4 linked regions of the Alligator mississippiensis genome follow. The protein of the gene in region 1 interacts with the protein of each later gene in a pairwise test. Links are inferred from orthologs where the notes say so. Each region holds a gene or a part of one and is shown in the gene's direction. Other genes may lie near its edges. The genes, in order: TRAF3IP1, SMC2, OLFM1 and FRMD4A.

Region 1 (7,505 bases):
CACAGCCTCTTAACTTGTTTACCAGTATGGTGTGGGATACCATATCAAAGGCCTTCCTGAAGTCTAAGTATACAACATCAACCCCTAGGATCCTAGACTTTGCCTAGGATGGTATAGATGGATGCATTTTATCTGGCCTTTGAATTACTCATTTTAAATAATTTAAATTATCCCTATAGCTGTAGGGGTTTAGGTTGTGGCCGTGTTGGTCTAAGGACATAGGCAGACAAGGTTCCTTGGGTGAATTTGATATCTTTTATTAGACCAACCTATATGGTTGGAGAATAGTTATTAAGCAAGCTTTCGGGTTCAAAAACCCTTCGTCAGGCTAAGGAAGCTTCAGCAGTTGGTGTGTGCTCTTCCTGGATGGAATGAAAAGTTTTCATTCCTCCCTATAGCTGCATTCACTCATAAATATGTTTAATAATTCACTCACAAATAGATGGTTAACAAACCAGGCTATCTTTTTGCCTCATGTTTTACCCAATATCGGGAGTGTCAAACATGTGGCCCACAGGCCAAGTCCAGCCTGTACAGCCAGGATATTTGGTCTCTGTGGCTCCTGGGAATTCAGGGATGGGGTGAGCAGGGGCTTTGGATCCCTGTTTGGGGTGTGCGTTAGTTGTGAGGGATAAGTGAGATCTGTGTTAACCCCTGCAGCTCTACCACTTCACCCACTCTTCACCCCAGCTCTGAGATGTATAACAACTGGAACCATATCTCTATCCTTATCAGCGTGATTTAAGCAGCCATTACTGGATTCCCTTATTGCCTCCACTCTTAACTCTCTCTCTTCAAACCCTCATGGTTGCAACCCTCACCCTAACTCAGTGGCCTTAGGCAGCTTCAACATAACTGTTGTCCAGAGAGCCCTACTGCCCCCAGAGATGGTGCCAAGCACTTAAATAGTGACTAGAGAAAGCTCCTGGGAAAGTCTAGGCAGACTGACTGCACAGCTCTTCACCTAAAGCTATTCCCTGTTACAGTTGCAGCAGGTAAGCACAACCTTGAGTGGGAAGGCACTTTATTGAAGAAATATACACTGTAGCAACACTTTGCATCAGCAGGAAACCACAATCTCTCCTTGCACTCTCCTTTTCTGGAGTGCAAAAGCCATGGAAAGAGGTCTTCCTATTCAGCCATGGGATACCTGCCTAGATTGTTCTCCAGTCCAGAGCTGGATTCTGCTGAGGTTACAGAGGGGACTGCGGCCTGGTAACCCTGCCAGGAGTTGGGCTTCCTGTCAGAGTGTTGAATGTTGCCCATTCCCCTTCTGTGGGCAGGCAGGGACTGTGACCACTGCTGTAGCAGCCAGCCTGGATTGTGGAGTATGTGCACCAAGTTCGTGGACTTCTGCTGGAGCTGTATACTGGTGCCCAGGCTTATCCCCTCTGCCTCCTGCCTTCCTATGCCTGTGGTACCCACATTTTAAAACAGCTGTTCTGATCCTGTGGGCTCTGACTATTGCCCTCCTTTGCTGTCCATATGGAATGGGTGTAGTCCAGGAGTGTCACTCATCCAGCCTTCTGGGCTGATCTACAGGGCCAAAAGAATGGTGTGTGGCTGGCCCTGTGGGCCATATCAGGCCCACAGACTTGCCCTTTACTCCCCTAGACTAGACCCAGTGCACATCTTGCTCCAGCCAGTCCAGGACTGGGGGAAAGTGTGTGTGGGGTGGGGGGGGATCATGTCTGGGTGTAACAATAAAACTCCTGCATGGTGTTGTATAGGAACTGAGCTGGTGAGGAGGTCACTCTGGTTAAAGCTGAGCATGCAACCACAAATTTTCTCAAAGCATAAACAGTGTCAATGACAGTGGGGAAAAGTATGTGTAGAATGAGAGGATGTGTGATAAGCAAGGTACGCAGGTATGGGTGTATAAATAATCTGTAAATAGCCAGTAGTAATAGTAGTAATAATAGCTATAAAAATAATGAATATGCAAGTAACAAAAGGTATAAAAACAGTTTGGGAACAAAGGGTCATTGGACACAGTGGCGACAAGTAGGGGGTGCACAGGGGTGCATGTGCACCCCCTGACAGCGCTGGTGTACACCCTGACAGCCACCATTTCCCGCTTAGGCAATGAGCTGGGGGGGCAGGCAAGAGCTCTGGTGCTCCCCCCCCGAGAGCACTGACCAGAGAGTGAGGGCGCCAGGAGAAGCAATCCCTGCAGTTCCCCCCTACCCCCCAGGGGTCGACGCGCCACTTCTGGGTTGGCGCGATTGGCCACAGGGGGACCCCCCCCCCTCGGTCGCTGACTGGCCACTGGGGGGGCAAGTGCCCCCCTAACTCAGGAGGCACCAATCGACCATGACTGGACAACTGCACTGCACTCAGTGGCAGGTGGAGGGGGATGAACTGGTGCATTGCACTCCCTTCCTCCCTGTTTGTTTCCTGGTCCATCCAAAGTTTAAAACCAATTGCCTGGCAGTGGCAGCAGCAGCAGCATTTCTAGTCAGGCAGCAGTGAGGAAGTCACTTGACTTTATGGCTCATTATAATCTACCAGAGTCCTTCTAAATTCTTCATTCAACAAGTGTTAATGGCTCTTCCTTCTTTTTAATGGTCTTGATGGTCCACCAAGCAAGCTAGCTTTTGTTATGCAATTTGCTGCTCCTGGTAACAAAACTCCTATTTCACAGCCCCCCAAACTGTTTTTAACTCATTCCAATGAAGACTTCTTTGTTGCGTCTCCAATCCAACCTGGTCTGTTCCCAGTATTCTGCACAGGTCGCTGCTTCTGGTGTTGGTGTTGCCAGACCTTATAGGGTACATTGTGGTGCCACAGGGCATCTCAGCAGATGATCCGCTGTTTGCTTCTCCTGAGAAACATGTTGGTTGCATAGAGGTCCCATGATTTCATGAGAGAGTTGCATCTTGCGAGACCCACTCTCAATCTGTTCAGGCTCCGCCATGTGTGCCATTTGTAGTTGGAGCCGGATGCCAACTCCTCACTACAGAGAGTTCCTTGCTGGTTCCGGTGAAGTTATATTATTCGAATGAAGTAATATTTGTTCTTGCTTCAGTCAAATGGAATAATACAGCCTTGAGCCCCTCGCATGTTAGTAAAGGTTCTAGCTTATTTTTAACTGGAGAAAAATCAGTGTTGTTTTATACACAATGAATCGATGCACCTCAGCATCTGCACTCCCTCCCCTCCTGGCCTTTCAAAATCCTATGTCCATGAGACCCTGTTTTCTCATGGGGACAGATAGCAAGACTTGCTTAAGATAGTTTTAAGGTAACTAGCGCATTTCTTGGGGTCAGAGCGTGCGCTGTCTGCCGAGGAAAGCTCCAGGAGTGGTGTGGAAACGTCTCCAGCCTTCTCTTCCCCCAACAACCCCAACTGAGTTTGGGGTGAGAGAGCAGGCTGGGAGATGTGGTGTGTGCTATGTGGGTGCCTGCTGTGGCAAATGTCCCTCTGTGGGCAGAGAGTGGCCTGGCATGTGCCACATGTGGGTTAAGGCCAGACTCAGGGGTAGCACCCAGGGGCCCTATCATGGCCACCTCTGGCCCAGCCTGAGGTGCCTCCAAGAGACTGCCCCCAAGATACTGCTCAGGGGCAGTCTCTGGGTAGCCTGGGTGAGCTGTGGCCACTGTTGCGAGTCTTAAATATGAAGTTATCATGTTGGAAGCTCAAAATGATTGCATTTGCTGGAAAACAATTGACAAATATGCAAATAAGTATGCAATTAAGTTGTGTTTTCCTTGACTTTAAATTGCTCACTCTAAGTCCCAGTGAGTGAGTGAGAATTGGGTCATGAAAGTGGGGGCTGTTCTTTATTTCCAGGTAAGGAGTCACCCCAAAGTGCGGCCTCGTGAAGGCTCAGATCAAGCGTAGTGGCTTCTGACCCTGGCAGGGGAAATACCATGTATCTGTGTCCAAGAAGGCAGCTTTCCTGAACCACCTGGCAGAGAGCTGCTCTTCTGGCGTGGCTCGGTACCCACTGAGGTGCAGCGGGTTTAAGCCGTTTATGGACATAGGAGTCCCCTCCCTTGTTTGCTCTGACGGCCGTATGGCTAAGGACAAGCAAAACTTGGGGGCATCCGAACCCCAAACCACTGGGCTTGGGCCTGCAAGTAGGATGCCCACCAAAGGTTTTGGAAACACCTGAAGCCCCAGGTGCGGGTGGAGGATGTTTGCCAGTAGTATGGCCACTTATGGTTCTGGACTCTTGGATTTGGAATTAGTTTTGTCTAATTTGACCTCGGATACAAATTAAATTAAAACAAAACAAAGAAGCCCCTGAGTGTTGCTTAAGACTCGTAACTTGGGTTTTGCGTCCAATTGCATCAAGTGGGTGCCTCAAAAATTATCATATATTTTGGACGCTTTTTTTATTATTAACCTTACCAGGGCTGACATCATTGCACAGACACACCCCTCGCGCACGCAGACGCCGGGGCGGCCGTTGCTAGGGCCGCGGTGCGGGTAGCAACGGCGGAATGCGGAGCCGCGCGTGCGCAGCGAGGGGGCGGGACCTGGCGCGGTGCATGCCGGGAGGCTCGGAGCCGGCGGGGCGGGCGCTGTGGGCCGCGATGAACGCGGCGGTGGTGCGGCGCACACAGGAGTCCCTAGGCCGGGTCATCCGCAAGCCGCCCCTCACCGACCGGCTGCTCTGCAAGCCGCCCTTTCGCTACCTCCACGACGTCATCGGCGAGGTGGGCCTCTTCGCCCCGTCTTCGCGTCCCCGTTGCCAGGTGCCGCGGGGGGCGGGGCCACGGGGGTGCTCGGGGCGGGCCCCGCCCCCTGCGGGTCTGGGGCCCTGCAAGGGCCTGGGCCTGGGGGCTTCCCCCTTGCCGCCAGCCTGGCAGCCAGCTCGGAGTGCGGCTCGGGGCGGGCAGCAGAGCAGGAGAACAGCAGAGGATGGGCCTGGGAGGTGCGGGGCAACTCTGTGGCTCCCCCCCACCACTGCTCTGAAGCCTGGTACTGCCCGTGGGAGACTCAGTTCCTCACTGGAGAGTAGGGTCCTCCACCAGCTTGTTCTGTGGCCCCCATCCCATCCCTTCACCTGCCGGTTTCCACCCCATAAACTGTTACAGGGGAGGTCCCATTCAGCCCCATCCTCCCCCCCCCCCCCCCCCAACCTCCGTGCTGCCTGATAATGGTGCACCAGCGCTGACCTGGAAGTGCAGAGCCCCTTCACTGAAGGAGATGTTAGATATTCGCATTAGTTCTTTTTTTCTGTTCCCACCTGAAAAGGAAAGAAAAAAAGAGACTTGGTAAAACCCTCTGTTAGAAACAAGGCAGGTACCAATAGGTGTGGCAGCAGCAGGAGGAATCAGGACTGGGTTGAAAACACCCAGGCCTGTGGGTCAAAGTCATGAGTTCCTGTGAACAAGTGAATGCAGGAATTTTCCAGACTAAAGTGAGTGAGATGTTAAGCACCTGGGGAAATGTGTCCGAATTTATTCTTCAGAGAATGTCATGCTGCCCTAAAATTAAATGAATACAAAATACTGACCGACACCTTTCAATGAATATGTTGACGTGAGCGAATGACTGACTTCCCTCCAAATAGAATAATAGAAAATGAGGGTTGGAAAGGACCTCAGGAGGTCATCAAATCCAACCCCCTGCTCGAAGCAGGAGCATCCTCAACTAGATCATCCCAGGCACGGCTTTATCTAGCTTGGTCTTGAAAACCTGCAAGGATGAAGATTTCATCACCTCTCTGGGTAGCCTGTTCCAGTGCTTTATTACCCTCCTTGTAAGAAAGTTTTTCCTGATATCCAACCTAAACTTCCCTTACTACAACTTGAGAATGTTGCTTCTTGTCCTGTCATCTGCCAGCACCGAGCACAGTCTAGCTCTATCCTCTTTCCAACTCTGCTTCAGGTAGTGAGTCAAGCTAACAGATTTGCCTGCTGGAACCTTATACAAGAAAATAGTGTTTTTGCTGAGGTTTTCTAGCTGTTCTCAGTAATTTACCTTTCCTTTGTTTTGAAGGTAATTAGAGTGACAGGTTTCATGAAGGGGCTATACACAGACTTTGAGATGAAATCTGATAATGTTAAGGTGGGTATGAAATTTCCTTATTTCATTATACCCAGCATGGGCAGTTACTCCTGTGTTGTCATACCCAGTTTCATGTAACAAACCTATCTTTCTTTTACAGTTAATGTTTTGGGGGAATAGCCTCAAATGTAGCTTTTCTGAATATATGAGATGGTGTCTTGTGGCAGGACCTAAATTCCCCGATTGTGGACAAGAGACCTATGGTGCTACATGCTGTAGAGATACAAAATGATTTTTCATTTCTGCACTGAGCATACTGGAAGTTAAAGATACAACACCATTAAAAATAATAACTTAAAAACTATGACTTCTGCTTTTTAGGTTCTTTTTTGCCCATTATACATCCACAGACAACTTTCCTCTAAGACTGTATTTTCTAGGGCTAAGGAGGGGATTGTTATGTTTTGTTTTACGTGCCCCAATGGTTTGTCTCTGTTTTTGTTGATATTTTAATGCGTATACAATAACTAAGGATGATTCAAAAAATAAGTATAAGTGTTTTGAGTTGCATAACAACATACGTTGTATGAAAGAATGGCAAATCCTTTTTATGTTTACAGCAATGTGATCTTGCGGGGGGTTGTACAGTGAAGTGTATTATCTGAGTGTGTGCTCTTTTCTGTTCTGAGAGGTCAATTTTACTACAGCTTGAAAAGACAAACAAAAATTGTATCAGCTCTTTACTTTCACTGTTGTAACTAGCACTGCTCTCTGCAGTGAATTAATGATATTTCCAGAGATGCATATACAATGCACAAAGTGCTTTATTCTACCCATATTATGAGATGTGCTTTTTCAGTTTGTCTCCACATGCAAGTGGGGAAGTTGTGCCTACTGACAGATTTTCTGTCTATGGAGAGTAGTTATTTTTGTGCCATTTCCCTTTAAGGCGAAGTCTTCCATAGGTAATTGAACTCTTGGGCAGATGGTACCCATGTAAGGACCAGTGATGCAATATGGCCACCCTACTCATGCTGTTCCAATGATTGCTTTAGTCTTTGTTCACATTTGAGCTGTACTGCATCCTTGAAGTTGTATTGATCTCTGGAGAGGAACCATCTCACTGTTCCCTCATCCCTAAAATAGTGGGTTTCTGAAGTCCTTGAAGGGAAGTGGGCAAGATGAATGAATCGCCATCATTACAAACCTAACACTTATAATAGGCTTTTTTGGCAAACAGCTACTTGCCTGATATGCATGATGGATGGTTAACCCTTGATACCCATTTCAAGTGCTGTAAGTGCTGTGCAGCAGTGTCAGTTGTATGGCTCAGCAGCAGATCAGGCTTGGTAGACAAGAGCACTGGCATTGTTTCACAGCTGTTTGTTTTATAGTTTCAAGGCTTCTGTTAGCAGTGGAGAAACAGACTGGCAGTTGGTTGATTGAATCATCTGACTTTGAGAATGGCAAGGACATTGGTCTGTAACCTGATTGGTATATTTAATGCAGCTTAAGCAGTGCCTTCAATATTGAGATCAGTGGGA
Region 2 (7,269 bases), on another chromosome or scaffold:
ATCCTTTGTAGGCCTTTCTTTTTAGCCTCAGGAGGTCTGCTAGATCCCTGGAGAGCCAGGGGGGCTGCTGTGCCCTCTTGCTGCCTTTCCTCCGAGATGGAATAGACTTAGTTTGTGCATTGAGGATCGCTCCCTTGAGGAGCAACCACTCTTCTTGAACTCCCCTCTCCCTGCGGTCACAGTCCCTTAGGGCCTCACTGACAAGCCTCCTGAGCTTGTCAAAGTCGGCTTTCCTGAAGTCAAGGACTTGCGTGTTGCTGACCGACTTGCCAGCTTTTCGGCGGATGGTGAAGGTGATCAGCTCGTGGTTGCTGTCACCCAGCTTCCCATCGATCACTAGGTCGCCGACTAGGTCCTCCCCAGTAGCCAGCACCAGGTCGAGCAGCGCTTTGCCTCTCGTTGGCCCATAGACTTCTTGAGTCAGGTAGAGATCATCCACACACGAGAGGAAGCTCTGCGACCGCTCAGATTTTGCTGAGCGATCCTCCCACGAGATGTCTGGGTAATTGAAGTCACCCATGACAACCATGGTCCTGGAGCAAGCTGCCTCAGCCAGTTCCTGGGCAAACTCCTGGTCTAGCTCAGGACTTTGGGTGGGAGGTCTGTAATAGACTCCCACCATTGTGTCCCCTGTGCCGTGTTCCCCACGGATTTTAACCCAGAGGGTCTCCAGCCGTCCACCCTGGTCGCCAATATCGGCTTGCAGGGACGCGTAGCTTTCCTTAACATAGAGAGCTATACCCCCACCCCTTTTCTCTACACGATCCCTCCTGTACAGGGTATAGCCATCTATCCCCGTGGTCCAGTCACGGGTGGAGTCCCACCAGGTCTCTGTGATCCCTATGACATCGTAATTGTTTGCACTGAGCAGGAGGATGAGCTCCTCCTGCTTATTCCCCAAGCTCCTGGCATTTGTGTACAGGCAGGCAAGCGCCCCCTGGGGGGCTCCTTCCTTGCCCACAGATTTTACCAGGGCTGGGGCTGGGGAGGGCTCCCTTGAGTGCCATGATCCGCTGGCTTTGCAAGATTTGCTCAGCGGGCCAGCAGTGGCGGTCGTGCCCCCGTCCCCCAGCGGGCTTAGTTTAAAGCCCGGTGGAGCAGGTCAGCCAGTCTGGCTGAGAAGAGCCTCCTCCCTAGGGGAGAGAGGTGGAGACCATCTCTTCCCAGCAGCTCGCTGCCTCTCTCGCCAAAGAGCGGGCTGTGGTCATGAAAGCCAAAGCCTTCCTGACGACACCAGTGCCGCAGTCTTTGGTTGACCACATAGATCCTCCTGTCCCTTCTCAGCCCATAGCCTGAGACTGGGAGGATCGACGAGAACACCACCTGTGCCCCCAGACCCTTAAGCCCCGCTCCCAAATCCCTGTAGCGCCTCATGACCTGGCTGGGAGTGCTCCGAGCCGTGTCATTGGTGCCCACATGAATAAGGAGCATGGGATAGCGGTCTGTAGGTTTGAGGAGCTTGGGGATCCTCTCCGCAATGTCCCGGATGCGGGCCCCCGGGAAGCAGCAGACTTGCCGGGCTAAGGGGTCGGGGTGGCAGATTGGCCCCTCCGTCCCCCTCAGGAGGGAGTCTCCCACAACAAACACCTTACGTTTTGTCTTGGGGAGAGCAGGGGCGGGAGCTGCAGTTGGGCCCATGTTGCCTGTGGGGGCCGGCAACTCAGCAGGCTCTGCTGGGGCAGCAAGAGGTGCATACCTGTTGCTCAGTTGTGGCGGGGGTGGGGCCTTGGTGCGGCGGGCCTTAGGGCCCTTGACCACCTTGGTCCATGCCCCTGGCTGGACACAGCAGGAGGTCCCAGAGTCCTCCTCTGGCCTGGAGGGAGACTGTGATCTACCCTCTGCCTCCCGGGGGAGAAGGGCCTGGCAGTAGGAGTCTATCTCCTGCTCGCAGTCCCTGATGGCACGCAGTCTGTGGACTGTGGCCTGGAGCTCCTCCAGCTGGCGCACCAGAGACCCCAAAAGGGAGCAGACCCCGCAAGGGGAGGTCGCCATGCTCCCAGGCCCCAGAGCCTGAAAAAGGGACAGGCAGCCCCCGCAGCCGAGAGCCAGGGGCTCCGTCTGCATGGAGCCCGGAACCAGGGGCTCCGTCTGGGTGGCCGTCTCTGAGGTGCCAGAGGGGGGGGCCGCGGAGCCCGAGGGGACCCTCGGGGTGCGGCGCTTGCCCATCCGTGTCATGCCTCTGGTAGGCTGGCTACGGCTGGGACTGTCTACCCTGCGGGGTGCGCAGGCAGGGTCTGGCGCCCTCCCGCACGAACTCCGTGCTAACTCACGCGCCGGCAGAGAAGCGCGCCTGTTTGTGCAGCCTGTTCGCGCGGCTCCGATCGTGTGGCTCCCTGGGGGGCTGGGCCAAGTAGGGGCCTGGGCGGGGCTTGACCCGGCCCGGCTCCACTCAGCTGCCGCCTCACACACACACACTAAGGGGTTAGCCCCTTCTCTCCACGGGCCCCGCTTACCCCGGCTGCGCTGGGGGTCAGCGGGGGGCTCCGCGGCTGCTGGAGGGTTTCTGGGGGGCTTCGGGGGAGCGGGGGCACAGCGAGCTTTCACCCGCGCGTCTCTTGCCGCTCCCGCGTAATATTGAGGTGGCAATCATCAAGCACCAACTTGCTGGACTGGACATCGTATGAGGATGCTCAACTCTAGACTTCCAAAACAAGTGCTCTACTCCCAGCCTAGTTGTGGCCTGAGATCTCACAGCAACGAAGAAAATGCTACATGGACACACTGAAGGCATACCTCAGGAAAACAGATGCTGACATCAAGAACAGGGAGGAGCTGGCTGCTAACTAACTCCGACAGCACTGCAACCTCAACTGAGAAACACCCTGCACTGAAGTAAATCATCCTGTCCTGAAAAGAAGAGAGAGCAGAGGAAGGAAAAGGAGAGGAAGCCCAGACTACGGCCTACTTTCTGCTGCAGAAAGACCTGCGACTTCCATGGACACGTCTGTGGCTCAAGGGTTGGACACTTAAGTCACTTCAAGACTCATGAAAGAGCTGTGGTAGAGATCATTCTCGAAGAGAGGGATTGCTAACTAGATCAGGTCTCCCTGTAGCGATGGACAGTGATATTACTGCTCTGGCTAAAGCTAAGCCACATCCATGAGTCACTGGCCACCAAAACCAAACCAAACCAAACCAAACCAAACCAGCCTTGCATGCAGTGCTGGTAATAATCACTTTGCAGATTAAACAGATGTAATGAGATTGCTGTTTCTTTGTGTCATTGTGGTTAAATACTTGGCAGAAATACTCATTTCCTGAATTCTAACAAGTTATTGCTGTCATTTCGTTATGGCTGTTTGCTCTGTGATTATTCCTGGCATTGTACAGGGCTCCATTGTCAGCATTAGTGCTCAGGATGCAAGACTACGATCACTGCAGTGCTGTCCTGTGCTACCATGGCAGTAGCACATGGATGGAGCCAGCTACCTTCTTCAGTTTGAAGTCACAGTAGATTTGCACCTTACAGACTAGCTAAAATCAGTGACATATAGCACGAGCTCTGAAATGAGCTCAGGCTCACAAAATCTTATGCTGCACACATCGTTTCTAAGGGTCAACCCTGTCCTGCCTTCCGTAACCTATGGAGTACTGCCCTAATGGCTCAGCCTTGCGCTCAGGGCTGGGATCAATTCCCTCTGCTAACAACCCAGAGGAGACCTGCAGCGTGAATATTCCCACCACCTTTTGGCTGCTTATCTTGCCAAATCGGCTGCTTCCTGTGGCCAAATACCAGTTTCCAACACCCGTTTCCTCAATTCTGTCTTCTCTGCGCTGCCAGACGTGGCTATGCCTTGTTGAGCATCAGAGCGCTGAAACCTGAGCAGGTTTTGCCAGAAAGCTTCCCTTGAGGGACAGGCCTAAACTGTGGCACTTGCTTACGAACTAGGCCGCGCAAGGCCGGCTCGCTACAGGGGCCCCTGTGGAGGGGAAGGGGAGGGTGGCTACACCCTAGCAAAGCTGAGGCAGGAATGGGCTTTGCAGGCCGCTAGCAGCTCCGCAGCGCGAGGCTGGGGCGCTGCGGCTACATCGGCCCGCGCACGCCCTCAATCACAGCACCAGCACTGCCCCATCCCCCGCGCACGCTTCTATTCTATTCTACCCTACCCCGCCCCGCTACTGCTGTTACGTCATCCTCTTGCGCCCGCACAGCGACGGGCTCTCTCAAAGGCCCCACCCACCTGTGTCCCTAATCAGAACGCTGAGCAGGGGAGAGGGAGGGGAAGGGGGTCCTTGCTGGCTATGGCTGACACCAGTAGGTGCCTGAATCGACGGTTGTTTTTTTAGCCTTAAGAATCGATTAAAAAATTAAAAAAAAAGAAAAAAGAAAACGTGCCGAGGCGGCGGGTGGCCGCGGGAGGGAGAGGCGCTAGGGGCGTAGCTCGGTGGCCAGTTCGTCCGGCAGCGCGCGGGACAGCCGCAAACGGTCGCCTCCGCTGGGCGCCAAAATTTGAGCGAGGCGACGGACGCTGGCGGTGGCGGCGGCAGGTGAGGGGGGCTGGGTCCGCGGGCAGTGGGGTGGGGGAGCCGCCTCCGCCTTGTGGACCCCGCGGGGCTGCGGCCGCCGTTCTGAGGGCGCCCGTGCGCAGCCGGCATTAGCCGTGCACGAGTTGAGGTGCGTGCAGGTAGGCAAGGTCCTGTGGGCAGGTGTGATGTCGTTTATCAGAGCAACTAAATAGTTGGGAAATTGCTGTTTGCAAGCTTGGGGCATAAACTTCCTTCTTCAGGGTGTGTATATCTATGTGCTTGTGTGCGTGCGCATGTTTATGCGTGCGTGTGTGTGAACCCGAAAGCTTGCTTAATAACTATTCTCCAACTATTTGGGTTGGTCTAATAAAAGATATCAAATTCACCCAAGGAACCTTGTCTGCCTGTGTATATAATATGCATGCATACGTGTGTGTGTGTGTGTGTGTTTCATTTACAGCGGTGTAGGTTGTAGCCGTGTTGGTTGAAGGACATTGACAGACAAGGTTCTTTGGGCGAATCTGATATCGGAGATAACAGATTCACCCAAAGGACCTTGTCTGTCTGTTTAATTTATGAACTTGTTATTTCAGCAAACCCCTAACCATGTGTAGAGTCACGCTGCGCTCTGAATGCAGACAGGCGTCCACAACATGCACACTGTTAAAGGAAAAATAAGTCGACTTTGCCGTCTTCAGGAAGATGATTGTCTTGAGGGGTTTTTTTCCCCCAGTAGCTGTATGTCTTTGCTGAGAAACATTCATGAGGCATGAATCCATACATATTTTATTGTAAATAACAGCTTGGGGGAGAGGGCCTTTGCCCTTTGTTGGACGAATGTCAATGTAATGTTTGGGCAGCACCCTGATGACTTCCCTGCCTGAGGGAGCAGCTACCATTGTCTGTTAGGGCAGCATTGTAACCTTTTCCATTTGCTTTGTGCTTTTGATTCTGTTGAATGCACTCTGTTTTGATTTGGTCTGCTTTTATTGTTTTGAAACCTGCAGCACTATAAACTGGAGAACTTTCCTCATCCCCCTTGAAGGGAGGCTTGGCATGGTCCTTCCGAGAGACCAAAAAGATGCATGTCAAGTCAATTATCCTTGAGGGATTCAAGTCCTATGCCCAGAGGACAGAAATCAATGGCTTTGACCCACTGTTCAATGCTATCACTGGCTTAAATGGCAGCGGCAAGTCCAATATCCTGGATTCCATCTGTTTCCTGTTGGGCATCTCCAACCTATCTCAGGTAAAGAGCAAGATGAAACACACGGTTCTGAATGACCATGAGCAACAATAAAATTTCTCCCTGTTGAACAGGATCATCAGGCAGCATCCTTTTCCCCCTTCACAGAATGTGTGGCTGGCTTTACTGTTTTGTTTTGTTTTTTTAACTAAAATGAGGAAGATTGACACTTCCTCTTCTGCACTCTGTGAAGATTAAAATTTTTCAATCCAAATCGGAGGATTCTATTGAGAAGTAAAAATGATGATGTGATCATTGCTGATGCCTCATTAGCAAGATTGCTTTACAGTCAGGCATAGAGTGCGTCCTTATCAAGGAATGTTGCAGCTGCTAACAATTCTTTTTCAGATGTTTTCCAGTTTGATAAACTAATGTGAATATATAGCTTTTGTAGTTGTACTAACAAAGCAATCCATTTCTCACACCATCAGGTATGATGTTTCGCCTAAGGCAGAAGTCATTTTTACCAACCGACTGTAAACTGAATGGTGGTCCCTTTTACTTCGCTTAGTTTTTTAACATGTAAAAATAATATAATTAGCTTGTAATAATGATAGCAATTAATTAGTATGCAGTCTGCAACCTAGAGCCATGGGACAAAAGTAGCAGAAGATTGAAATCATAACGTTTTTATAAAATAGAAATACAAAAGCAGATTAGGATGCTAACTCATTTCCTTATTATGCATGTGGGAATCTCTGGAGAATACTGTTAAATGATGATTTTTTTTATTTTATTTTTTTTTTTTTAGCAAAAGAGGCTTTTTATTATTTAAAAGCAAAGAATAATAACAATATTTAATAAGTAACACTATGCACATAGTACCATTTACGTAAGTAATATGTATGTTTAGGAAGATCTGTATCTACTTTTAGAATTGCTTAAAAGTGTGGTTTAGACTCAGTAATCCATTAGAACCTCAATGAATATTTAGTATAACATCTTTACAATCTCATATAGATGCCATCATGAAGAGAGCAGTGTTTTAGACTAGACCATCTTGCTGCGTATATTTATCCATTTAATTTTTTTCATTAATTTCTTATAAAAATCTTTAATTGACATATTAAAATTGGGCTGGTCTTTTGTATATTGTTTTATACTGCAGCCTTTTTTATACCTCCACAGTTTGTTCGTTCTTGAAAGTTACTAAGGTACATAAATCTATAGCATGCCTACTTGTCAGACATTTCAGTTGACTCCCCATTTGCTATTAATACAATGACTTTGTTAATCATTCATGTCTCTTCCATATTTTCAGGTGCGAGCATCCAATTTACAAGATTTGGTTTACAAAAATGGCCAGGCTGGAATTACTAAAGCAACTGTATCAATCACCTTTGATAATTCTGACAAGAAACAAAGTCCTCTGGGATTTGAGGCTCATGATGAGATCACCGTCACCAGGCAGGTAAGCTTTTAGCCTTTATTTGTTCAGAAATGCTTACAGATTTTTTCATTCTTCTTGATAGAAACTGAATTCAAGATGCAAGTATTTGCTCTTCGTTTTAGCCACTGCATGTTATACAGCAGGGATGTGCAACTCGCAGCCTGCA
Region 3 (7,210 bases), on another chromosome or scaffold:
TGCATTACCCTTTTGGATAAGCAGAGTGAAATACCCATCTCTGCTAGAAGATGGCACTAGAATTCAACAATTGCATCGACTCCCAGGCCACGGAGTTGCATAACATGCATGTCGGCTCCTGTTCTGCATTGCCACTTCTGGAAGAAACTATCGATTTGCTAACACAAAGTTCAGCCCCTTTGACTCCCTGCGATATGCAAGCAAAGCAGTGACCTCGCACTCGTGCACCGTTGTGCATTGCAGGTCAATGAAGGAGGTGAGAGGGGATGGGACAGCTTTCTTTGTCTTCATTCATCCTGTTCTTCCTCATTTTTTTTTCTTTGCTACTGCAAAATGTGAGAGGTGCAGAGAGATTTTGATGCCTATTTTCTGACCGACGGCTGTGATCACTTCTTAGGAAGCATAGGGGTTGATCATCGGAGGACACATTTATGGCTGTATGTCAGGACTGCCTGTACATGATCAAAGGATTCATTTTGTAATCTCTTTTTCCTTCCTTTTGCATTTAGTACTTATGTTTTACCCCTGGGTTAACGTTTAAGTGAAGGCAGAAGTGAGGGTTTCTATCAGAGGGACGCTTGGTTTCTGAAGTCATTGAGAAAGTTATATAAGCCTCTGGAGAACATCTTCGTTTTTAATCTGGAATGAGTTCAGTTTCCTTATGGGGAAGATGATTTCAGGGAAAATGTTTTGACAATGCCACCAGCACCGTTTCCAGTGCAATATCCATCTGGCATCTTAGTTACGGTTTGCTTTGTAGCTGGGCAAATTAATACAATACGGGATTTTTTTCTTAAAACACAAGAGTCCTGATCTTCTGCTGGTGTCACTCTGTGTAGCTCTACCGATTGCAGGGACTTGGACCAACTGAGGTGCTGGCCTGGTGTGTGTTATGACTGTACCTGTCTACCTTCAAAGTGATCAAGCCTTTTCATTTTTGGAGAATGCCAACTTTGGTTTTCAGCAGGAATTTAGCAACCCCGGCTATGTGACGTCTCTCCCTCATTGAAGTCCTAAACCAACGGTGCTGAACCTCTTTCAGTCAACGTACCCCTTGGTCTCAGAGTGAGACTTCACATACCCCCTTTCAATGGGAAATTAATTTTTATGTCAAGCTACGTGTAATCGTGTATTATAAAAACGGCAAGATACTCGTACAAAACTTCAAATTGTCAAGACTTTTTTTAGGTCCTTTGACCTGTGCTAGACAATGTATGAAATGTATCTCATGTACCCCCTGGGGGTACATGTACCCCCCGGTTCAGAACCGCTGTCCTAGACTCTCACCTTGGGGGACTTGTAGGATGCTTTATAGATCTTACAACCTCAGACTCGTGCAGTAGAAATGATGATATACTTCTGAAACCCCTGGCCTCACACCACCATGCTCAGCGATTGCAAAAACCCACGGGAAGAGGTGAAGCTCATCTTGTTCCCCCACATTTGCCAGTTGTATCTTGCCCCGAGCTTGTAATCCCTCTGCAGAAGCAGCTGCCTTTTTCGGGGGTGCTGGGTATAGCAGCCAGCACTCCCGAACCTCAATCCCAGATCAGGAATTGGTTGTCATACAAACAATGCAGTGCCTCCTGAGAGTTATCGAGGGGTTTTGGCAGGCAGGGAAGTATCCGGAGACCCACTTAGAATTGAAGACGGTGGGAAAGTACTCAGAACTGGAGCTGCCCGCTTCAGACGCCCGCTATCTTGCATGCCAGTGTCCCACCCTATCCATAATGGATCCTTCTCTCCTTCACCGAGCTGCCTGTTGCCTCCACCTGCTTTCTCTGGCCCAAGCTATAGAGAAACTGAGACATCTTTTGGAGGTCTTCCACCTCTGGATGCTCTCTAATGGATGGCAGGGAGGAGAGCTGAACTTCCTCTGGAACAGCGATAATGGGAAGTCAGGCGGGGAGGGGAAAGGGTAGACTGGTACAAATAAGACTGATGCTGGTGCCCGATTTGCAGCCTGGCTGGAGGTTATGAATCCGCGGAGAAAACATTCAGTGCACGTTGATATTCAGTGCATGTTGTGATACCTGAAAGGTGCTTTCATGTGCAAGGCAGAGCAGGGAGAAAAGGAGCCATGGAGGGAGCCAGGAAGCACTTGGGGTCAAAGTCCGGCTGAGAGCTCATTGCTGCGGGGTGGCAGAGGTGACGGCTTTCCCCACCTCAGCCTTGCTGCTCTGCTCTGGCTGCTTGGGCAAGCCTGTGACGCTGGCTTGGGGGCAAAACCCCCCTCCTTACTGGGGGGAAAAAAAGAAGGGGAGACACAAGGATGGCAGCAAAGGTGGCAGCTTTTCTTACCCCAGCCTTGCTCCCTACTTTGGCTGTCTCAGCAGACCTGTGAGGCTGGATCAGGGGCAAAACCCCTTTCTTGGCTGGAGGAAAAATGCAGGGGAGACACAGGGACAGCAGCAGAGGTGACACCCAGCCTTGCTCCCTGGCTCTGGTGGTCTTGGCAGGCCTGTGAGGTTGGATATGGGGCAAAACCCCCTCCTCCTGGGAGGGAACAAAAAGTAAGGGAGATACAGAGATGGCAGCACAGTTTCAGCTTTCCTCACCCCAGCCTTGCTCCATACTCCAGCTGTCTCAGCAGGCCTATGAGGCTGGTTGGGGGGCAAAACCCCTCTCCTGGCTGTGGGGGAAACAGAAGGGGAGACACTGGGACGGCAGCAGAGGTGACTCCCCAGCCTTGCTCCCCAACTCTGGCTGTCTGTGCAGGCCTGTGAGACTGATTCAGAGACAAAACCCCTCTCTTGACTGCGGGGAGACAGTGGAGGTGACACCCCAGCCTTGCTCCCCAAGTCTGGCTGTTTGGGCAAGCCTATGAGGCTGGGGAAAAAAGAAGGGGAGATGCAGGGACGGCAGCAGAGGTGCCCCCCAGCCTTGCCCTTTGGCTCTAGCTGCCTGGGCAGGCCCGTGAGGCTGCCTTGGGGGCAAAATCCCCCTTCTTGCTGGGGGAAAAAAAGAAGGGGAGACACAGGGATGGCAGCAGAGGTGCCCCCAGCCTTGCCCTTTGGCTCTAGCTTCTCTGTGCAGCTGGATCAGCAGCAAACCCCTCTCTTGACTGGGGGGGAAGCAGGGGAGGCAGCAGCAGTGATACCCCCTGCTCTATGTGCCCCGTGCGGCTGGATCAGCAGCAAACCTTGACTGGGGGGAAGCAGGGGAGGCAGCGGCAGTGATACCCCCAGCTCTATGTGCCCGGTGTGGCTGGATCAGTAGCAAACCCCTCGACTGGAGGGGAAGCAGGGGAGGCAGCGGCAGTGATACCCCCAGCTCTATGTGCCCGGTGTGGCTGGATCAGCAGCAAACCTTGCCTAGGAGGGAAGCAGCAGTGATACCCATGGCTCTATGTGCCCGGTGCCGCTGGATCAACAGCAAACCCCTCTCTTGACTGGGGGGGGAAGCAGGGGAGGCAGCAGGGGTGATACCCCCAGCTCTATGTGCCCTGTGCGCTGGATCAGCAGCAAACCTTGACAGGGGGGAAGCAGCAGTGATACCCATGGCTCTATGTGCCCGGTGTCGCTGGATCAGCAGCAAACCCCTCTCTTGACTGGGGGGGAAGCAGGGGAGGCAGCAGGGGTGATACCCCCAGCAATATGTGCCCTGTGCGCTGGATCAGCAGCAAACCCCTCTCGACTGGAGGGGAAGCAGGGGAGGCAGCAGCAGTGATACCCCCAGCTCTATGTGCCCGGTGTGGCTGGATCAGCAGCAAACCTTGACTGGGGGAAGCAGCAGTGATACCCATGGCTCTATGTGCCCGGTGCCGCTGGATCAGCAGCAAACCCCTCTCTTGACTGGGGGGGAAGCAGGGGAGGCAGCAGGGGTAATACCCCCTGCTCTATGTGCCCTGTGCGCTGGATCAGCAGCAAACCTTGACTGGGGGAAGCAGCAGTGATACCCATGGCTCTATGTACCCGGTGCCGCTGGATCAGCAGCAAACCTTGACTGGGGGGAAGCAGGGGAGGCAGCAGCGGTGCTCCCCGCGGCTCTGGCCGTCTGCCCGGGGCACGGCTGTGCCCGCGAAGCCGCATGCCAGGCGGGCGAGCCCCGGGGCTCGGGCTGCAGCCAGGGGGCTCTGCGGAGCCGCGCAGCCGGCGCCAGGCAGCGGAGGAGGGGGTGGGCACAGCAGCCCCAGCCTCTCCCCCCACTCCCAATCCCTCCTCCACCTCCTCCACCTTCACCACCACCACCACCACCACTCCGGCAGCAGCAGCAGCAGCCTCCCGCCTGCCTGCCCCGGCTCGCTGGCTGTGCTGGCTGTGCTGTGCTGTGCTGGGCTCGGCATGCCCCAGCCCCGGCGGAGGAGCGGGGCGCCGGGCTGCCTGCGCCCGCGCTGAGCGCCGCGCCCTGCCGCTGCCGCTGCCCGGGCCGGGGCGCGCCCTGGGCCGGGATGCGCGGCGGCGGGGCCCCCGCGGCTGCCCGGCTGGCTCGGCTCGCGCAGCCCCCGGCCGCCCGGGCATGAAGCGGGGCCGGAGCCCCGGCGCGCAGAGATGTCGGTGCCTTTGCTCAAGATCGGAGTGGTCCTCAGCACCATGGCCATGATCACCAACTGGATGTCGCAGACGCTGCCCTCGCTCGTGGGGCTCAACACCACCAAGTTGACGGCCGCCACGGGGGGCACGCTGGACCGGAGCACGGGAGTGAGTGCCCAGCGGGGTTAGGAGCTCTGTGGGGGGGGGGATGCAAAAGCTTGGGGGAGACTGCGCGGTGTACCCCCAAACCCCTGCAGCAAAGTGCATTAGCTCCTAACAACCCTGACTCTTGGGGGCAAAGCGGATCTCTTTTCTTAGACCGAGGGGAATAGTTGGAAGAAGAAAAAAAAAAATCAAACAACCCTTCTTTCGGGTTTAAATCCCCTCGGGATGCCAGGGGAGCATCCCCCTCCTGCTCTGCAAGGGCTGGGATGAGGATGGGCTTTTGCAGGGCTCAGGGGCGATGGGCTGCAAAAAGCCTTGCTTCTCCGGGGTGTTCGTGGGAAGGGGGAAGGGGGGCTGTGCTTGAGACTGGGTTCGGCTGCAGCTGCGGGCAATTTCGGAGATTTTTAGGGTCGGAAGGGACCTATTGGATCATCAAGTCTGACCCCCAGTTTGGTGGGTGCACATTGTGCAGTCCAACCCCCAGTTGGGTGTGTGAAGATTTGTAGTCTGACCCCCAAGTTGGTGTGTGCACATTGTGCAGTCTGACCCCCCAGTTGAGTGTGTGCAGATTTGCAGTCCGACCCCCAGTTTGGTGTGTGCACATTGTGCAGTCTGACCCCCTAGTTGAGTGTGTGCAGAGTTGCAGTCCGACCCCCAGTTTGGTGTGTGCACATTGTGCAGTCTGACCCCCCAGTTGAGTGTGTGCAGATTTGCAGACCGACCCCCAGTTTGGTGTGTGCACATTGTGCAGTCTGACCCCCCAGTTGAGTGTGTGCAGATTTGCAGTCCGACCCCCAGTTTGGTGTGTGCACGTTGTGCAGTCTGACCCCCCAGTTGAGTGTGTGCACACAGTGCAGTCCGACCCCCAGTTGGGTGTGTGCACATTGTGCAGTCCGACCCCCAGTTGGGTGTGTGCAGATTTGCTACCTTAGAGGAAGGGCACGGTAAGGGCACGTTCCCAGCCGACAGACTGCGGGCTGGGCTGGCTGTCCCCTGGCCAGCCTGCAACCGTGCTGTGATGCCCCTCTTAGCTGGCCATCCTGTTACATAACCTGTTAGGCACCAATCTCCTGCATAGAAATACTGGGGTTTGCACAGGGGTGAAGGCAAGTCTGGAGGTCCCCCCCGCTGGCACTACTTTTCCCTCTATTTCGGCCAAGGACCCTGGTCGCAGGGTCCCCCTCCCAGAGCTGAGGCACTCACATGCCTCCAATCGATAGTCATTACTGGTTGGAAAATGCAACAGAGAAGTTGCAAGTGTATTTCAGCCGGGTCTTATTGTTCCACTTCCTTCCCCTGAAAGGAGACTATAGATTCTGCTCTTATCTATTGGAATTGGCTAAGGATCACACTCCTCCTTACCTCCCTGAGCAGGAAGGCATTGACAGCTCGCACCTCCCGGCTGCAAGCTTCTGTCTCCATAAAGGATGTAGCATGTAACAGCTCCACTGTTTCAAGATGAAAAGTATTGAAGGCGGCATGTCTTTGCCCTGGGAGTGAAGCGGGTAGCTTCTGCCACGTTGCCAGAACGGGATTGACCCAAAATCATTTGGACCGCTTTACAGAATCTCTCTCTCTCTCTGCCCCTGCGTCTGTGTGTCGGCTCGGCTATTTGCAAGGTTATAGAGAATATATTTAATCAATCAAAACAGCATTTTTTTCACCCTTCCCCCCTCCCACCCCTTGCTTGGGGATGCTGCTTTCTTCCAAGTCATCAGAAACGAGGCTCTGATTAAATAATGCACCGTGCAAAATGTTGCGTGATCAAAGGGAATGGAGATCACCGGTGCTTTTGGGGCAGAACAGGGTTGGAAAATGAGCGTAGTTCGGTTGCTGGCTTCCTTTTCCATCGGTGCATTATGGAAGCCCTGCTGGAGAGGCTGGCTACATCCGCAAGGCTGCCTCCTTCCTTAGCTGGCTGGCTTTCACAGGCAATGAGTCTGGGATTCCCCTTCCATGGATTTGCTGAACCCTTCCCAAAATATTGCAGTGCTGGCGAGGAGCCTGGCAGGGCTGGTTGGGGCTTGGGGCTGGAGGGTGAAAATGCAAGGGGCCTTTTACTGTTCCAGGCTAATTTTCCTGTTTCAGGATCTTGGAGAGCTCTGCAGATGCCCATTGATTACAGCTTAGCTCCAAGGAGGCTGTAAACTCCCTCTTAGCTTGGGATGCACTTCATTCTCGGCGTGTCAAGGAGGAATCGAGTGCATCTTATTCATCAGCTCTCACCCAGCCACCGTGTGCTTCAGAGCTCGCTCAACTAGTGTGTTACAGCAGGCTAACCAGACCCTACTACCCTGATTTTCTCTGCTACATACCATCCCCCTGGTCTCCCCTGCCCCATCCCTATTCATCTGCTTTGGCTCTTGCTCTCTTTTTCATACCACCAGGCACAGAGCTAGTATGTCCCAAATCCATATCTTTGCATTGTAAATGCTTTCTGTCCTCTCCTGCTAGCTGGGCGTTCAGAGAAACCTCTCCTCTGTCTTCCATGAGATACATATCCATAGCTCTTTTGCACTGAAATAGGGTCCATGCCTGTTTCTTCTCGTGTACCATCTCCTCATGCTCTGGCT
Region 4 (7,416 bases), about 170 Mb from region 1:
CTCTGCCTTTACAGCGACACAACAGAATTTAGAGCCTGGTCCTCAGTCCTATGCAACTGAAACTCTCCGTGGGATGAATCCTGCGGTTTTGTCTTCTGCTTTATTCCCTCTGCTTTTCCCCACATGCTATGATAAATTGTCCTAAGGTAACCCTGGACATTGTTTCTAATCTGTGTTACCTAGCTTCAGCTTCCTACCACTGCATTGTTACTCCTTTTTTTGCTAGATTTAAGAGTCATGTGCATAGAGCAATCTCTTCCCTGCGTTGTCCAGCTAGTAACTTGTTGGATACTGGCAAGGAAAGGAAAACTTCCTTTTAATGCTCTAAGTGCCATATGCCACATGCACACTGACCCCTCTAGATGTATAAATACAAACATGTAGCAGCGCTCAGTGGCCCTGGGAATGAGCCCTTCATCGTTTGGACCCTTTCTTGCGTGTTCATGCAAGAAAAGGCTGTGCTATGGAAGTAGGCAGAGAGAAATATGGAGAGTAAAAGACTTTGGATAATTGTTTCCAAAACAACAAAGCACGAAGCTCCAACATGAAAGAGACCTTTCGGCTTAAAGGCCTCATCCTCTTATCATTAAAAAGAAATAAAGATCAAATAGTGACACATCTGATACAAAGATTTGGTCTTAAAAGAACAGATCAGTGGCTTTGAGCCGTAACAACCATCAGGGCCAGCTGTGGAGCAGAAAGAGGATGCATCTTGCTCATTTATTGTATGTTCAGAGAAAAGCTACAAAGTTTCCCCCAAACTCCAGTTTTTTTGCACGCTATTCTCATAACACAGTCAAGAGGGGAACTACTTGAGAGCCCATTAGAGAGCAGGGCTGATTTCCTTATTCCAAGGACCAGGCAATGCGGGTGACTTGAAGGGAAAAGATGTCCTCCTCATCACCAAGCTTCCGAATGCAGACACCATTTACTTGCATTTGTACAGGTCATTGCATTTCCACTTAGTCTGTTCTGGCATTTTGTTGAAAAGGACCATTTTCCTCCTGTTTAGCTCAGGTTTGAGAGCCTGCCCTTCACCTTCAGCTCTCACTGACAGTCAAATGAAGCAACACAATGGACTGGATTTTTTTTCTTCATGGAAAGAAATGGGCTATTTTTATATCCTAGTAACAGCCTCTGGACCGTCAGTAAGATGTGGGAGGTTTGGAAGTAAATGCTTTCCCTGACATTTTCTCAGATGGCAGGAAATAATCAGTGCATAATTAGAGAAACCGATGAACAGATCTGTGTGTGTATATGTGTATACATGCCTAGCTCTGTCCATCATACATCTATAAATTGCACTGCAATTTATATATAATCTTCCCTGTAGATTACCAAGGGGTTGAAACCCGTAGGATTGTATAGAAATGTAATGGGGTGCTATAGGCACGTATTTTGTGTATGCCAGCAGAGGATCTGATCGGCTGTGCAACTAGATCTTCATTTCTGCTCCCCATCTCCCCGTGATCTCACAAGGTCCCTTCCAGCCCTAAACTTCAGTGAATCTGTGACACTCTCCGCCGGCCTTTCCAGATGCCTAACAGTGCCTCCCACTGGACACCAGGTGTGATGGGGGTGACTGGAAAACCAAAAATCCCATTTCATAAAGCTTGTTGACTTTGAAGAGACACGTTCAGAAGCAGACGGCCGTCCGGACAGGTTCCTCTCCTGGGATGTAGGAGACCGGGTCTAAATTTTTGCTTTTCCCAGGATCTGGGATCCCCCCCAGCCTGAGTGATTGTTTTGATCATCAGGGTGTTGTGCTTTGCCTTTCTGGCTTTGGCCCAGAAATTCCTTCGTGGACTCGTGAAATCTTCCGACGAAAGTCTTACTGAAAACGATAAGCTTCCTTGAGGAGTGCTGGATTTCCTTAATCAGCAGTCAGATGCTCCTTTAGGAAATTCCTTGACTTGTAACAATGCTCCAGGCAAAATCCTTTGCCTAACTTCAGTCTGGGAGTCCTAGACCTACGCCTCCGCTAACCAAGCCGAAGAACCAGCTCCCTCAACTCGGAGGGATCCCCGACTCACAAACCTTTCATGCATGGTCAGCCCATCACAGGGAGACGGAGCAGGGCATCTAATGTGAGTTACGGTACAGCTCCACGTGGCATAAAGTTGTGCTAACTATTGTACAGCTCCCTTCCCAAACTGCCCTCTCCCCACAGTTGGCCTCTTCTGTGCCTCCATGAAGGATGGTTGCTAATAGTGTTACCCTCCCACTCGGGAAGGGGAAGTCTCAGGGAGAGAAAGTACCTGCTCAGCTCTGGGGACTGTGACGTGTCTGGTTTCTGTCTGAGAAATGCATGTAATCTGGACTCCATCAGAAGCTGGTCCTCTCAGCTGAATCCTTGTACAGACGATGTTTAGCTTTGCCAAAATAAAATATCGCACATCAAATTAGCAAGGAAGGATCTGTAGGAATCTGACCAAGCTGTTCTCACCAAGGACTTAAATTTGCATGTTCAAATGGTCGCACGTCCAGCTGACTCCCAAGGACTCAGTTCCAGTCTATTGGTTAAATACTTCCTTTTGCAATCGTTGCGTCAAGTCACATTATGTAACCCAGCTCTTCTAGAGCCGTTCTCATCCATTGGGTAATCATATACTTGGGACACGGGGGCTGCCTATGACCAAAATTCCCCTCCAGAACGGCCGGCAAGGCTCAGCGCACATGTGGAGTAGCTAATTTTAAAGCAGCAGCATAGCCTCCATTTCCCTTCTCCCCCTTTCCGAATGCCAAAGCAGTTAGATCACGTTGTGGAGCAGTCGCTTTTGAAAGTTATTTCCTCCTCCTTTTCTTTTAATCAAACACATTTCTTTTTCTTTCTCTTGTGTTTCCAGGCAGGGCTCTTATATGCTGTGCTGTAGCCTAGAGCAGATGTTTCCTCATCAAGTTTATTTAACAAAAAAAAAAAGCCTTCTCCAAATGGGGTTTTATAATGGCGATGTTGCTAGTCCCCTGTCAGTATTTTTAATGATGGGGACAATGTGTTACTTAAATTACAAACAGGCAAAGAAATCAACCCAAGAAGGAGACAGGAAAACGGACATCTGAGATTCAGAGGCGGGGGGCAACACGGGACTAAAAGACAGACCCATAGGAAGAGAGAGAATGATGTGCTGCAGCACAAATAGCATCTACTAAGTTGGAACGAAATGCTATGATTTTTATGACACTGCTATAAAAATGATGTCCTGGAGAAGCAATTAAAGCTGTGAACATAAATTTTGCCGCTCTATTTTGCTGGTGTTACACCTGCCTAGTCAACGAGCTGTTAGAGGTATTGTACTATTATTATTATGTGCCAGTTTGGATTGTGCTTTCTGGTCCTCCCAGATCAAACTAAATATATACTGAGTCAGGACATATATATAAAACCGTGGAAGAGCAATCAATATTTGCTGTTTGAGCACGTGTTTGCTCGCTACCTTGTTAGATTGCTTGAGATATTCAGGCTTTGAACAAGCCATGACTGCTTCCACAGCAGCCAGATTCATGGCTTTCATTGTCTTGGTGCTCAGCCTCGCAAAGCACCGCTGCCTCATTTTTTCAGAGGTGCTGTAAGTCCTAGTGACTTCAGTTGGGGCTGCTCAGCATGTCCTCTCAGCTGCTGGCCAGACCAATCTTGTGAGGTGTTCACCAACTAACCCCCATTAGCTGTGAAATCAGGCCCCATAGGAGTTATGTAGTCTTTTGTCATTCATCCTGCAACACCAGCAACAGCTCTGGTGGCGAGTTGGCCCCTCAGTGGCTCTTCCACTGACTCGTTCTGTGGCCTTATGTAGGACACGTCACTTCTGTGTCTCACTTTCCATGTCTATGAGGTGTTGAGACTGGCACCTTCCCAAAGATCTGCTCTGTATTAGGAAAGTTGTACCAAATTAACGACACGGCGCTTTAAACCACTAATTTAATGTAAAACCCTAATTTATCTCTTTCACCCCAGCTTCATTTGGTGATGGAAGCTGAATCATGCTAAGCAAGGGTCAAACTGGTTTCAGTGTGTGTTTGTTAAGGGCACCAATTTCAGCTGATTTTGGTCAACCTGTGCAGGTGGTTTAATAGAGAGGCACACCCTTAGCTGAGGTTTAGATCAACATAAGTATTGCATGAACACTAAGTGCCAAGAGGAATCTGGAAAGTGTAAAGACTCTAGCAGTGCCTACTGTATACAAAATAAAAATCTCCAGTAGTCCTTCATCAAATTTAAATAAAGGAATAAAGAATAAGAGGATAAGATGCTGCACGCTGCAAAGCCATCCTCTCAGCTGTTGTTTTGTAGCATTTGAAAGAGTTAAGCCGAAGACTGGAATGTCTTGGGAATGTTGGCAGGGGGAGAGAGCAGCTTTTTTTCCTCCCTCTGGATGGGATCCCAGTCCTCTGAAAGCAAAGTGATGACTTTGGATCTAAGTTTGTTTCTGGGTTCTGCTGCTCGGAGCTGGGACGCGAGATGCAACGTAACCAAGGAGCCCTTTGTCAGGGATGTGAAATCGCCTGCCTCGCGCGGGACTGATATTTTTACCCTGTCCCCGATGATCTCTGGGTGCAGCAGAATTTGATTTGAGAAGATACATGCAAAGAGAAGCTGTTTCCTGACGGGAGCGGGGGAGGAAGAATCCCAGCTGATTTATTTTGGCTGCAGCCTTTCTTTGCCGCCTTGCTGAAACTTGCTGTGACATTTTAACCTTGCGGTCCGTAAGGAGTCTAGGAACTCACTAGCCACCTCAGCTTGGGAGCCCTGGGTGCTTCACACAGGTAGTTGGCATGGCTGCTGTCCTCTTTGGCTTTGAGGACCTGTTCTACAGCTGGGACAGCCTGGTGTGGAACTTGACTTCACGGGCTTTGAGGACCTGCCGCTTTGGAAATCTGAGGGTCCTGCAGCTGATGCTGAAGCCATGGTGCATTTCCAGAGCTGTCTACCAGGTAGGTGGTTTTGCACCACTGGGCCAAATCATGAGGCCTTTACTCAATCCCTGCACGGGGAAATTCTCAGGGGGCCTAATCCTGCAAAAAAATGAACTCCATGAGCTTCCCATTGCAGTCAGTGAGCACTGAAGATGCTCAGTACTCATAGGAAGAAGTCTAGGGGCAGAATAACAGGGTTTGAGGTCCCTGGGAGCTTTTCTGAGTTGGAGCAGAAGCCTAGATTCTGCTTTACTCAAGCGGAGGCACGTGCAACCGTGTTAGTAAAGGAAGGGGCAGATTCTGGCTAGGGATCTCTTAGTATTTGGGGCATCCTGGATAGATTCTCCTTGTGAAACGAGGCTGCTCTTTGCCAGTCTGCTCATGCTGTGGGTTCCTGTTTCTTGACTAATCCTAGCTGCTGGACAAACTGCAAAGTATTATGTAGCATGAAGAAATCTAGCCTTGCAGAACTGTAACCTGCATGCAGTAAATAAAATGAAGGGCTGACTTTAAAATATAACATACATCACACTAGGCAAGCCCTAGGTATCATTCAGCTTTGGGAGATTCGATTCATTTGCTTGCCTGTTACATATTTTGTTTGGATGGGGTTATAAAAGCCCAACCACAATAGTGAAAGTGGGTCGGATGATTTTTTTTTTGTACCTGGGTTAGTGAATTTTCTGGCTAGTTTTGCAAGGCTGTCTCAATTCATTGAGGTAAATGCTATATATAACCTGAGGTAGGGCTGGCATTGTGCGGACAAGGTATGTTGTTAGCTCAGCTTTAGGCAAGTAACTTGAGTTCAAATACAGCAGTAAAGACTTGGATACCTTGACTTTTAATTCAGGTGGCAGTCATGGGATATCAAGTTGCTATCTTAATCGTCTTCCTAGCTGGTTTCACTTCAATTAGCCAACTTGGATTAGCCAAGAACAGTTAAGAATTCATTTTTTTTTATTGTTTCCATATCCTATAATGTCAGAGTATTCATTGGTATTGCAGAACTGACCAAGAAACTTGAGAACCCCAGACTTTGGGTTGTGTGATCAGTGCTTGTATTTGGGGGAAAAGGTATTTTCTGCTAGACTTATTTGCTTGGTTTGAGTTATTTCTGGGTTTGGGAGTTGCTGTGTTAAGCACAGCTGCACATAATGGGCCTGATTCGAAGACCATTGAATGTGTCCATCCCCAGTAACTTTGTGAACAGATTCATAGTGTAGTTTAGGAAGAAACAGGTACAGGTAGTGAATTTTTTAAATGCTAATTTGCCCTAGGGCTAGTGAATGGTCCTAACAACTCAAGCCATCCTAGAAAATCCTCTCTAATCCCTTTTTCTAGTTGTAGCATTTGCATCAGATGCAGCTCCTGACATCTGTATGGAAACTATTGCAATCAGTTGATGAATACTCCATGTGAGTAAAGGAAGACACTCTAAGCCAATGTCTCCCAATGTTTTCCAGCCCAAGGCACACTTACATTAATTAAAATTTTCCATGGCACACCTGTTAAGGCATGCCCCATCCCCATACTTATGAGCTCATTGTAGCTCACTGCCACGGCAAAATTCCACCTGTTCATTTCTGACGGCATGCCCTTGTGTCGTGGCACACTGACTTGTTTGTCTCTGAGCTTGCCCAAGGAGTCATTCTCCTAAACAGGGCCTAAATAGCATTGCTACCACCCGGTCTGTTCTGTTCTACCAGAGAAATGGCCTTGGCAAATACTGGGGGACTTGCACTAAAATTTGGCATCGATTTGGGATTGGATGAAATAAGCAGCTCATTTCTCCAGCTGTACCTGCAAAGCTTTCCCACATCCACAGCTTTCTTTACTTGCTATCTATCACTTATTAGTTGCAAACTCTCTTGCACCTCTGAGATCCAGAAAGGAATGGAAGCAGAAGTGATAAAATAGGACGAGCAAGACTAGGAGAGATGAACTGGTTAGATCACTTTGCTCAACAATAAGTCATCAGTGGCTCAATGTCTGTTTGGAAAGAGGTATCAAGTGGGGATCCCCAGGGGTCTGTCCTAAGTCTGGTATTTTTTTCAAATTTTCATGAATGATTTGGATGATGAAAACGAGTCCACACTTAGGAAATCTGCAGACAACATGAAATTGGGTGGAGTTGCAGACAAGTGTAAAGTCCTGCACTGGGGATGAAATAATTGCATGCACAAATGCAGTCTGGGGAATGTTTAGCTTGGCTGCAGTACTGCATAGAAGGTCCTGGGGGTTACAGTAGACATAACATTGAACACCTTCAAGAGAAAATTGGATGCTTATCTTGCTGGGATCCTATGACCCCAGCTGACTTCCTGCCCTTCCAGCGGGGGGCTGCACTTGATGATCTTCCGAGGTCCCTTCCAGCCCCAATGTCTATGAAATCTATAAGCTGAATGAGCCAAATATGAACCAGCAGCACAGTCTAGTTGCACAAAAGGCTGACAGCATTTTGGATTGCATTAACAAAAGTGTTGTTTGCAAATCAAGGGAAGCTAT

What was found.
Region 2: the proteins of TRAF3IP1 (region 1) and SMC2 interact in a two-hybrid assay, tested with the Homo sapiens proteins (2 studies listed by BioGRID and IntAct). The link is inferred for Alligator mississippiensis from reciprocal best matches to the Homo sapiens genes TRAF3IP1 and SMC2.
Region 3: the proteins of TRAF3IP1 (region 1) and OLFM1 interact in a two-hybrid assay, tested with the Homo sapiens proteins (2 studies listed by BioGRID and IntAct). The link is inferred for Alligator mississippiensis from reciprocal best matches to the Homo sapiens genes TRAF3IP1 and OLFM1.
Region 4: the proteins of TRAF3IP1 (region 1) and FRMD4A interact in a two-hybrid assay, tested with the Homo sapiens proteins (2 studies listed by BioGRID and IntAct). The link is inferred for Alligator mississippiensis from reciprocal best matches to the Homo sapiens genes TRAF3IP1 and FRMD4A.

Annotation. Positions count from the first base shown.
Region 1 is NC_081827.1:183,388,382-183,395,886, reverse strand, and holds the start of TRAF3IP1 (TRAF3-interacting protein 1), read left to right. Parts: upstream 1-4,495; 5' UTR 4,496-4,496; coding exon 4,497-4,703; intron 4,704-5,952; coding exon 5,953-6,021; intron 6,022-7,505.
Region 2 is NC_081826.1:165,751,862-165,759,130, reverse strand, and holds the start of SMC2 (structural maintenance of chromosomes protein 2), read left to right. Parts: upstream 1-4,262; 5' UTR 4,263-4,488; intron 4,489-4,535; exon of another isoform or gene 4,536-4,615; intron 4,616-5,474; 5' UTR 5,475-5,548; coding exon 5,549-5,716; intron 5,717-6,974; coding exon 6,975-7,124; intron 7,125-7,269. UniProt on the Homo sapiens protein: Central component of the condensin complex, a complex required for conversion of interphase chromatin into mitotic-like condense chromosomes.
Region 3 is NC_081835.1:62,520,207-62,527,416, forward strand, and holds the start of OLFM1 (noelin), read left to right. Parts: upstream 1-4,198; 5' UTR 4,199-4,490; coding exon 4,491-4,640; intron 4,641-7,210. UniProt on the Homo sapiens protein: Contributes to the regulation of axonal growth in the embryonic and adult central nervous system by inhibiting interactions between RTN4R and LINGO1. Inhibits RTN4R-mediated axon growth cone collapse.
Region 4 is NC_081827.1:14,823,939-14,831,354, reverse strand, and holds the start of FRMD4A (FERM domain-containing protein 4A), read left to right. Parts: upstream 1-4,401; 5' UTR 4,402-4,770; coding exon 4,771-4,929; intron 4,930-7,416. UniProt on the Homo sapiens protein: Scaffolding protein that regulates epithelial cell polarity by connecting ARF6 activation with the PAR3 complex. Plays a redundant role with FRMD4B in epithelial polarization. May regulate MAPT secretion by activating ARF6-signaling.